Linked DNA regions of Arabidopsis thaliana. The protein of the gene in region 1 interacts with the protein of each later gene in a pairwise test. Each region holds a gene or a part of one and is shown on either strand. Other genes may lie near its edges. The genes, in order: AT4G28150 and AT3G56320.

The links.
Region 2: the proteins of AT4G28150 (region 1) and AT3G56320 interact in a two-hybrid assay, tested with the Arabidopsis thaliana proteins (one large-scale study listed by BioGRID).

Annotation. Positions count from the first base shown.
Region 1 is NC_003075.7:13,976,623-13,981,245, forward strand, and holds AT4G28150 (hypothetical protein (DUF789)), read right to left. Parts: upstream 2,866-4,623; 5' UTR 2,291-2,865; coding exon 2,207-2,290; intron 2,136-2,206; coding exon 1,915-2,135; intron 1,831-1,914; coding exon 1,650-1,830; intron 1,566-1,649; coding exon 1,480-1,565; coding exon of another isoform or gene 1,437-1,479; exon of another isoform or gene 1,393-1,436; coding exon 1,301-1,392; intron 1,214-1,300; coding exon 1,020-1,213; 3' UTR 681-1,019; downstream 1-680. Other genes in the region: AT4G28160 (hydroxyproline-rich glycoprotein family protein), read left to right, coding at 3,768-4,103.
Region 2 is NC_003074.8:20,885,394-20,892,085, forward strand, and holds AT3G56320 (PAP/OAS1 substrate-binding domain superfamily), read right to left. Parts: upstream 4,411-6,692; 5' UTR 4,103-4,410; intron 3,910-4,102; exon of another isoform or gene 3,826-3,909; 5' UTR 3,757-3,825; exon of another isoform or gene 3,561-3,756; intron 3,315-3,560; 5' UTR 3,232-3,314; coding exon 2,986-3,231; intron 2,902-2,985; coding exon 2,722-2,901; intron 2,633-2,721; coding exon 2,540-2,632; intron 2,435-2,539; coding exon 2,252-2,434; intron 2,174-2,251; coding exon 2,071-2,173; intron 1,972-2,070; coding exon 1,789-1,971; intron 1,714-1,788; coding exon 1,232-1,713; intron 1,142-1,231; coding exon 800-1,141; 3' UTR 501-799; downstream 1-500. Other genes in the region: AT3G56310 (Melibiase family protein), read left to right, coding at 1-6, 101-352; AT3G56330 (N2,N2-dimethylguanosine tRNA methyltransferase), read left to right, coding at 4,857-5,488, 5,597-5,797, 5,891-6,191, 6,280-6,342, 6,436-6,540.

The DNA.
Region 1 (4,623 bases):
ATTTCATTTCTCAGACAAAATCATTCTTTTTTGGTAACTAAATCTCAACATATTATCTCACGTGCATATCGACTATGCGTGATGTTATTCTTCATATCTTCTATTTATTGTGAGGAATAAACATAGTCTATAAAGATTTCAGGTGGAAAATCCAAACTAATTGTTGGAATTTACAGTTTTATTTATTTATCAACTTACAGTTTTTATGTAACTTTTTCTAGTGGCAAAAAAGAAGATGGGTGCAGAAGAAAATCTACTAAAATCTCTATAAGAGTATTATTCTTAAGAAAATTCGTGAATATTAAGGCACACATTTATTCTTTTTATTTTATGAGTTAATATTGTTGTGTATAATACTATAATGTGATAATGTTTAGAAACAGTATAGTTTTTTTGGTGTAATTTTAGTTAGGGGTGAGCATAAAAAAGACGAACCAACTTTATTTTGGGCCAATGATCCAATTTATCAAATTTGGACAAAAGTCGAAAGAAGCCTAAAACATGATCCAATTTTAAGAGGTATCTTCAGAAACAATCTAAAACACCATAAATAATTCCTAGTAAGTACATAATATCAGAATATTATATTAGAGGCTAAGAAACTAAATTTGAGATAATTGTAACATAAATATATCTAAATATCATGTAGAAAGTTCTAGAGATTTTTGTGATAATCTTTTATGTAAATCAATATATATCTCTGTATATATCTTCTTCTTTTTTGTTATGAAATTTAGAAAATTGTTAAAAAGAGAAGGATACCAAAATCAAGAGAACGTGCGTTTGTACAAACAGAAAGCCACAAAACATTAGAAAAGAATAAATGTATTGAGCCCATCATCATCAATCTGACCCCAAACTAAATTTATGATATAAAAGTCTTGTGAAGAAAAAGTCAGTACCTATCCTTCCCAAAGAGTCCCAAGTAACAACAATCCAACATTATTGATATGTGCTACTCTTAAACAACAAAGCTAAATAGACTGTTAACCAAGTAATGATCTAAAACACTACATATATCAAAGATAATGAGTAGTAGTGGTGAAGTAGGTGAAGTCATGGTGGTGGACCCTTAGCTGCTTTAGCCAAGAATCTGCTACGCTCAAAAAGCAAAGCAATCTATCATTATCCCATAGCCTCCCTTGCATCTTGTAAGTGGCCATCCCAAATGCACTCACACTTATCCTCTCCTTCTCCTCTTCCCTTTTTACATCTGTTCCAATGCCAAGGGACTTTAGAAATGGGGAATGAATGTACTAATACATTAATACACACTTCCAAGAGGAAAGTGAAAATGCACCTTGGAAAGATGAAGAAAGCGTGTGGTAAGTGAGGAAGCAAGTAGACAAGTCTTTTATGCTTCTATTCATGGGAATGTGATAGATTGGATACCTACACATACAATCAAACATCGTCACCATTTTACTACATTAACCTTAACTTTGTTTTCTGAAACAAGAAAAAGAAGAAAAGGCAGACCAAGCAACAGCCATCCAACTCGCAGGAGACAGATCAACACTCCTCAATGACCTCAACCCTACGTATCTTTCTCCCAACTCTTTGATCTGAAAGTAGACAGAGACTTATGGAATCATAAAACAATGAAAGAAAGTGCTTCTGGAATCAAACTCCAAGAATGGGGAACAAACCTTATCCATGAGAGGGACTCTAGAGTAAGGTGTACATCTCTCGAAATACTGCAAGTAAGAGTAACCGAGGCGATCGAGAGGTTCTTGATGATCAAACCCTTCTTCAGACGAAGAACATCCTTCCCATCTCCACTCCTCGCTACACGACTCGCTCCCTGAATCCCCTGATTCTGTCTCCTCCCTAAATCATCATTCATCGCAGCGACATGTTAGATTGTTGAATATATGCTTGTGTTTATGAAAATGGCAGCATAATGATCATTACCTAAGAGTATTGATAACAGAATGAGAGGTGAAAATCTGGATTGCAGAGAGGTAAGGAACATAGTATTGGACCAATGTTTCGCCCGTTTCCGATACAATGGGGACACCTGCACCGTAAGCACTCCACTCGTCGAAACAATCCCAAAAATCTCCCAACCTGAAATACTCGACGCTCTGGCTCTCCAACGGATACCATAGAGGATTAAGGTTCTTGATCTGTGTCTGCCAAAAAACACACAGTTTCAGATCCTAAATTCAGAGAATTGTTTTAAGAAAAAGAAAAAGGCGTAAACCTTTGGGAGGGAATAGGCAGGCACAATCGGTGTAGTGCAGCGTAAGAATCGGTCTAGGTTAGATTCACTGTCAAAAACCATCATTATCCAACAAAGAACCAAACTTCGACCCAGAAAAAAAAAAAAAAGAGAGAGGAGAGAGTATTGCGGGATTCTCTTTCCCTGACGTTTCAAAGAGCTTAGTTTTCGGACAAAAGTGTTAGCTTTATTAGACGAGCATTTGAGACTTTCACGGCAATGTCAGAAACAGGGAAAGATTGAACGAAAAGGGACAAACTTTTTAAAGAAAACTCCAACGGAACTCTGTTTTGAGCAATGAGAAAAAAAACAAGTAAAATTGTATCTACTTTGAGATAAAAGAAAGTAAGGAAATAGGTTTATATAATCAACCAAACTCCATGAGACCCATTCTTCTAAGGCAGGAGATTATTGGTAGATTCACCTGTCTTTCTCACAACTCTCCACCTTCTCCATTTATTTTCATTTTCATTTAATAAAATATAGTTTCGTTTCTCTAACTTTGTCGGATGAGATTGAGTTTTGTTTGTTTGGGTTTAGTATAAAACGTTATGGCTTCTTAATATCTTCATTTTGCATAGTTCGTGAACAACACAACAAAACAGAGCTATTATTCCTAAGTCTTAGATGATGACATCTCCCAATACAAAGTCTCCTTCTTTTGGATACATCTTGAAAGAAGAGAAACTAGGTCGATCACATATAACAAGATTTCAAGAGAAACTGGGTCAATGACTTTTTTGTTTACATATTATAATTCATATGGTTTAAAAGAATCATTAACATAAAAGGACATGTGTGACAGGATCAGTCGGCAATGTTGTAATCCAAGTTAAACTAAATATCTACTATAGAAGTTTGACACATTCAAATAGTACGACGACATGGGGATAATAAAAGTACGGAAACACTCTTTGACTTTTATGGATTTCTTACAAATTTCTATCAGACAACTGTAGAATATGCCGCTAGTCACGTAAATGTAATTATTAAAACATTATCAAAAGATTGATCGGAGAAGAAAACTCAAGAAATGGTCAAATATGTTTTACCAACTTCGTAAAGAATAAAGAGAAAGTAAAAGAAATCAAACTCTTTCAAAGTGGAAGCCGTCGTCTCTCGCTGACTTCTTCTTCATCGGTTTTTCTGTTACTTGTATGTGAAGCCAAATAAACCTGCAGAATTCACGGTTTGAATATGAGAAGAAAGTAGGATTTTAAATAATAAAAGAAAAGTGAGAGAGAAGACAAAGACCTCGTTGCACAAAAGCCCATCACAACCAAAATTACTAATTAGACATGTGTGGCAAATGTTATGACTGATCATCATGCAATAATTCACCGCCAATACCATAGATGCTACCAGACTTTGTAGGCTCTCTCTCTTTAGTAAATAAAGCACTTTGTTTATGTTCGTTTAATGTACCCATAATTAGCTTTAACTATTTCACTCTACTCTATATATTACACACACTATCTCTTCCATCTTCCCTCCACAAACCACACATTCAAGCTCTTACCTTTTATCCTCAACTAACACAACAATGGCTTATACTCTGCAAAATCTGACAGCCACAATTGTTCTGGTAAGCCTGATTCTTGGATGTACAGAGGAAGTAACCGGAATGCGTTACATTCCCATTTCCCCCACTCCCAGTGAGAGCAAACATTCAGACTTTCCTGTAAACATGGTGCCTCAACCATCTAGTCTCATTCCTGGTTTTGGAAGGTTCTTGCTACCTCCCACACCTAAGCTGCCATTCCTTCCTTACAAAGATCCCCTTGCTGTTGCCCCAGCCACTTCAAATGGAACTCCTAGTAATAAAGCCCGCAGTCCGAGTTCAGGAGAAGATGAAGTTCCACCAGTGCCACAACCATGACCTGTCAACAAATAAGCTTTTGCTAGATGCAGAAGGGTATTCAATTCTGGTTCACATAACAAGTATACTAGTCATTTCATCATAGTCATATATCTTCATGATCTCTCTCTATATATACTTAAGAGGATATTGAATAAATTCCAGAGCTTTTGCTTACATACTATCTAAAAATAATATTTCCAAATAAAATGTAATGACTCACATTGCTGCAAATGTATTGAGTCACAAAAGAGTAGAAATATGTAGAAACTCTTCAATTGAATCATTATTGCCATGATTGAGTCAAAAGAGAAACTCTCTTTACAAAGTCTGAAATTTTGTCAAGATATGTAAAATCTCAAAGTTTCAAAGTAATCTCAGCATTAGCATTTAGCATTAACAAAACCAACGACAACTACGATGTATTAACAAATCAAATTTGGAAACTTCTAAAACAATGCGATGATAATGGACAAAGAGATGTCTTGGAAAAGTCTATTGGAATTGAAGTTTCTGTCTATCCATAGCGAATTGGAAAAAA
Region 2 (6,692 bases), on another chromosome or scaffold:
CAGCAGGTATGAATTGGGAGTCACAGAATTATCAAACTCATAGAGAAAGCAGAAAAAACAAACTCAAGGACTCAAATTGGTGATAACTGTTTCATTGCAGGTGTGGTCAGGACCTTTATCTGGTGACCGTATGGTAGTTGCTCTCTGGAACCGTTGCTCTGAGCCAGCAACTATTACAGCATCATGGGATATGATCGGTCTTGAATCTACCATTAGCGTTTCAGTAAGAGATTTGTGGCAGCACAAAGATGTAACAGAGAATACTTCTGGCTCCTTTGAAGCTCAAGTTGACGCACACGACTGTCATATGTACGTTCTCACTCCCCAGACAGTATCACACTCTGATGTATAGTTCTTTATTGTGAGGCATTCAAATCCCAAAGAACAGAGATTGCCTTTGTGTTTCTGTATACTCGTGTATCTTGTAAAACGTGAAACCTGTTGTTACCCGGACAACTTTAAATGTTTGTCACTCTCTAAACAAATTGCCAGAAGTGACAAGAAGTAAAACTGAATCTCATATAAAAATTTAGATAAAAAGTCTGAAGGATCTTGATTCCAAAGAAAAGACAAATGCCAAATCAACTCTTAATCTATACCACTTTTGTATATTCTGACCTACCAACAATGAAGAAGAGATCTCTAATGAAACATTGGTCAAAACAAGTTCCTGATGGATCTTTTGAATCCTATATAGAGTTTTGAATACTAAATAGAGTTTGTCCATGTGGTTAAGAGAACCTAGTAATCCTGAAGGTGTCAAGATAACAACCAAAGCTTCGGTCACAGTCACTAAAAGTCAAGAGCCGTTCATGGTTTGGGAGGATCTGATACTCTCTTCTTTGCCATTTTCCAATACCAATGTGCTTGAAGTTCTAGGTTCTACTAGGTTTTCTGGTGGTGGAAATTGGCAATTGTCATCAAGCTCCAAATTCGCAGATCTTTGAGATTTCAGCACACTCTCTGGTCTCACACATTCTTCTCCTTTGTTACTGGTACAAGAAGTAGACACTTCACCGGAAAGATTGCAGCAACTACTGGCTCCATCATTGTCTATTGCCTCAGAGGAAGCTTCTAAATGATTCGTTGATGAGGTTCCAGTACCTGATTCTCTGAACCTGTCAGAGTATACCTGTTGACTCTGCAACAACCATTGAGAAGCAATTCAGAAGCTTGCAGCAATAAGTTAATTTTTAAGCCAAAATGTCCGTCAAAGGGGTTAATCGCATACCATGTCAGGAATATAAGTGCCGGTTCCTCTCGTCTTTCTCATGTTTTGACAGCCATTAGGTAAAGAATGCAAAGGAAAAGGCTGCATAGAGGTTGATACATTGAGACTTCTAAGATGGAACTCGTTCTTTCGGTAAGTCACAAGGTGACGAACAATATCCCAACCACTCAGGTGAGAACTAACCGGGATATAGCCATGCTGAAATGTTCCAGGTAAGCTATGCCCATGATACATTTGCCCATACACAAGTCTTCCAAAGGAACTATCGAAATCTCCACTAAGTTCAGATAATTCTGATCTTCCAGTACCGAAAGCAGTAACGGGATCATTCACATCTTGCCTTTGTCCCTTACCATTTCTCTCCAAAGAGTTACGAAAGAACTTCTCCAATCTCCATCCCATGGTGTCACCAGGTAGTGAAAGAACATCTCTTAGCTTTCGAGCTCCAAGTGTAAAAGCATGTCTTATTCGTTGGACATTTCCTAACAAAATGTTTTTAAAATAATTAATATTTGACAACTGCTATATTGGTTGTATAACTTTTATCAATAGAGTACCTTGTGTAACACTTTTGCCGAGGTTGTTGCTGTATTTTAGAGGATCAACTATGTTGAGATGTTTGATAGGAAACTCAAGACCATTTGAGTCAACAGCTTTAGTTGGAGCAGAATATAACTCTACACAGTTTCTTAAAAACTTCTCGTCAAGTAATAACTCATGCCCATTTTCTGGAGATGCTGCTGGAAAGATAGAAAGAGAAAGAACCAAATTAAAACGTCAAATAGCGCCAAGAAAATGCCACGAAGAGAAGTATCTGTGATTTTTGGCATCATCCTTACCTGTAAGTTCTGGAAGGGACGATATTGGCACAGGACCATTGACACTGATACAGTAGTTGTTCCAATCAAATGAACCATAGTAATCCAAGAACTTATACAGAACCTGTTGAAAGACAATGCTATATTCTCATCTTTTGCATATATGTAGAGGATGCTGAAGGTTCAGAAAAAGAGTGATTACCGCTAAAGGGCCAGATAAAGATGAATGAAACAGGTTGATGATGTACAAAACTAGTACTGCCAATGCATATGTTGAGATCAATCCAGTGTTAGCACCAAGAATTCGACTCTCGTAATAGCACCAAGCTTTGACAAGGATGATGCTACGCTTGAAAAGATGATCTCTCCCAAAGAGTTGGTCAACCTGAGAATACATAAAACCAGAGTTTAACCAACAACTAAGAATCAAAGCTAGGCAATAATCTGTTTAGTAAACCTCTGGAGCCTGATTTTGAATAGCTGATAGTACCTGCTCCAGAAAACATAAAGCACAGAGACCTGCCGTTTGATTAAAAGAGATATCAACAGCAATGTTCCTGATATTGCATTTTATGACCTTGACCTATCATATATCAGCAAACTTTCTTAAGGAAAATTTGGGCAACCAAGAAAATACAAAAACGAAACCAAAAAGTAAATAAACAAAGAGACCTGTGCAGGGATAAACTGAACATCTGTTGCATGGAATTCAGATTCTCTTTCTTCATTCTGAAGCCTACTGCACAATTGTCCATAAAAATCGTCATCCATATTTTGCTTAGTTAGGACAGTCAGATCGATATCCCCGTCCGGGAGATAGGTTTTTAGTGGCACTGAACCAAATGAAAAGACCTGTAGATAAACAAGTTCCCATAGAAAGTTAACAAAACAGCATAAATCTTTAACATGTCAGCAAAGAGAAGCGGAGTTTCTAACCTCAATTCCCTCATGACTCATGATAAGAGTTCGTACATAATCAATGATCTCATTCCTACTTCTGTCTGAAACAAGGGCAGGTTGGATAGTGCAAAGTATCTCATGAGCTCTCTCCTCTGCAATCATCCAAGAATCTGCATCTATCGGCAATGAATCTCCTTTAGGTAGTGCCGTTGATAGTGACAATGAGGATGATGAAGAAGACGAAGATGATGAAACTGACAATCTTTCTTGAATTTCACCCATGTGCGCATAACTTCAAACTAACATCAGAGTGATAACACAGGAATCCTCAACAACTCAATGAGCCCCTTATATAATTATGATATCTACAAACAACAGAACAAACAGAATTACAAAATATTTCAAATTGGCCTTTTTGTCATCACATTAGACAGAGAAAAAGAAAAAAATGAAGTCAAGGTAAAAGTTGATTGTCTAATAACTAGAGCTCCCAAATTTGATTAAGAACAATCGAGGCTAATCCAGAGAGTGAGTGAGATTACATCCTAAGCAAGAGACATAAAAAAATGAAACAGAGCATGCCAATAGTGAATTCAGTGTTAGGTAGGTACCCTAATGTTTAGCTTCTCAGAGCAAAATCGAATATTTATAAAGGAAAACAAAACAAAACAGCTAAACTATCCTGCGTGAGTGATGATTATACCTTAGGAAAAAATGACTATTAGCTCAGAAGTCTCAGCTCTGTCTCTTCCAAAATCATTTTTTTTTGTTGACAAAATTGAGAGGTTTAAGTAGTGAAAGGCGTACCTGCGGTTTTAGACCAGTTGTCCAGAGATTCTTTGGGCTAATCTTTGAATATTCAAGAAGCTTTAATTCCTGCTAACAAACAAACAAAAAAAATCAAAACTTGGAACAGGGTTTAAGATTTGTAACGAATCGACATTTTCACACGAAAAAAAATATGACATTTTGGTTTTCATCTTTAAGCTTCACAAGGACCACGAAGATGGATTAAGACAAAAGAGAAAACCCCAAAAATCAAAAAACGAGATTCACACGAAACATCATTTTGCTTTCTCCGATAACGAGGATTAAGAGGCAAATTAAGCTTGTATTCATTGGATTCCTAAAGATTAAGCAAAGATTATCTCACCTCGAAACAAAATTTCCAGCTTTAGTTTTTTTTGGATCTTATGGATAATAAACGTTACACCAAAAACTTTTTTGAAACACAAAGGGGAAAAGAAATAAAAACCCAGATAAAAACAGATATGAGTCAGTAAAATGAAACGGAAGGGATTGTTTACGAATACCGATTTGTATTCATTGATCAGGAGAAGAGAAACCGATACTATAAACTTTTTTTTAATTGAGGGGAGAAAGAGAATTATCACCAAGACAAAAAATTAAGGGATAATATAAGCAAAAATAAAATAAAAAATTATGGAAGGTTCATAATAGTGGAGACTCTAAAACAATCTGCCATTTTTGTATCAATGAGAAAAAAATTAACTTCACCTGCTCCTCTCAAATAATTTTCAACCCAAGAAAAAAAATAGATTTTCTTCATTCTTGTTGGAGACTCTTAGTCTCTATGATCTTCATGGTCAATGTTTTTGAATGATTCAACAAAAACCCTAATTTCTCCAAATTCCAAAACCCAGAATTCCAGAAACAGTAGAAACTCAATTCCATGAAAGGGAAAAAAGTGTATCGTATCTTTAGGTGGACTCGAGTATAGACGATTACACAAGTGGGACCCAACTAATCATAAGATTGACGACGTGGCCTACTAATACGAGGTTTTTATCTCTTCCGTACACGTGGCATAATATCGGACGGACTAATTTAGATAGACGATTAAAAAAAAAAATCAAGCAAAACAATCAGATTTTTTTTTTCCCGCTATGTTGTTGACTCTCTCTCCTAAAACCCTATCTTCTTCTTCCTTCTTCACTGTGCACAAATCGCAAAACCCTAAATGTAAATCTCCAGATTCATGTCGATTCAAGAGCTTGAAATGTAGTTTTGATCGAATTTTAGTGAAATCCGAGGTTCAAATTGAGAGGAATCTCGAATTTGAAACGGGAGAGACATTTTTCCGCCATGAAAGCGCTAGAGGACGAGACCTCGGTGTTTTGTCAGCGACGCTATACAAGAGATCTAATGGAAGCTTACGGGTACTCGACGCAATGTGCGGATGTGGAATTAGGTCGCTTCGTTATCTTGTGGAAGCTGAAGCTGATTTCGTGATGGCGAACGACGCAAATGATGATAATCGGAGAGTGATTACGGATAATTTGAGTAAAGTAGAGAGAGGTACTGGAGATGAGAGGAGATGGGTTGTGACTCATATGTTGGCTAATAAAGCGATGATTGAGAGATATATGGTTGCGGATTTCTTCGATATGATTGATATTGATTCGTTTGGAAGTGATTCTTCGTTTTTGAGAGATGCGTTTAATGCATTGAGATTGGGTGGTTTGCTTTACTTGACGTCGACTGATGGTTACTCTTCTGGTGGTCACAGACCTTATAAGTGAGTGAAAGCAATACCATTAGTCTTTGTGGTATTTTAGGAATCATGATATGATTTAGGGACTAGGAGATTGAAAGTTGAAAAATTTCTTGGTTTGTTTTGGTGTAGTTCTTTAGCAGCTTATGGAGCATTTATTCGACCAATGCCGTTTGGGAATGAGATTGGGCTGCGGATGCTTATAGGTGGAGCAGTGAGAGAAGCTGCTCTGCTTGGTTATCATGTTACGCCTCTTTTCTCGTACTATTCTTATCACGGACCTGTGTTTAGAGTCATGCTGAGGGTTCACCGTGGGAAGCTACATGAGGACAGGTTGTTTCTACATTTAGAATTTGACTCGAAAGGAATTGAGTTTTGGTTATGTTGCGTTTCTAATTGGAGTTGTTTTGTGTCTTTTAACTGTAGGAACTATGGTTTTGTCACGCACTGTAATCTATGTGGCCATTCTCATACATTGAGATTCGATGAACTTGGTTTGATGGGATGTCCCTGCAGTGATACAAAGGCTTCTTCTTCACTGGTTGTGTCAGGACCAATGTGGCTCGGACCGCTTCATGATGCATCCTATGTTACGGAAATGCTGGAATTGGCAAAGGAATGGGGATGGGTCAGTGAAGGCACTGGCATGGATCTGGACAAGCTTCTCAGTATAATGATTGAAGAAAGTGATCCCAGACTACCACCTGGATACACAAAAATGGATGAGGTCCTCTAAAACCATGATTTTAATTTCATTGATAAGATAGACGCATTTCATTCACATTACATGATAAAAGATTTGTTTTCGTGATTAGATGGCGAGCCGTGCGAAGATGAACTCACCTCCGTTGAAGAAGATGATGAGTGCACTAGTTAAGGTAAATAGTAGTTAGATTCTCACAGCTTTGATCTCTGAAGAAACTGATCTGAAGGTACAAAGTTAAAAAGCTCTGCTCCTTGGATTTTTGCAGGAGGGTTACGCTGCTAGCAGATCTCACATTATTCCCAATGCTCTTAAAACAGATTGTCCCATGTCCCATTTTGTTAGGATTGCCAAGGAAAATTTGCATAGTTAACTTTTTGTTATAATCAAGTTTAGAGATTTTTTTAAGCCTCTGATTATACTTTACAAAGCAATCATACCCAACACTCGACTATATTATTTGTTGCTTTATGCTAAGTAGGGAGATACAAGTACTTAGCATCGCTTAAGAACGAGCGAAGCTTC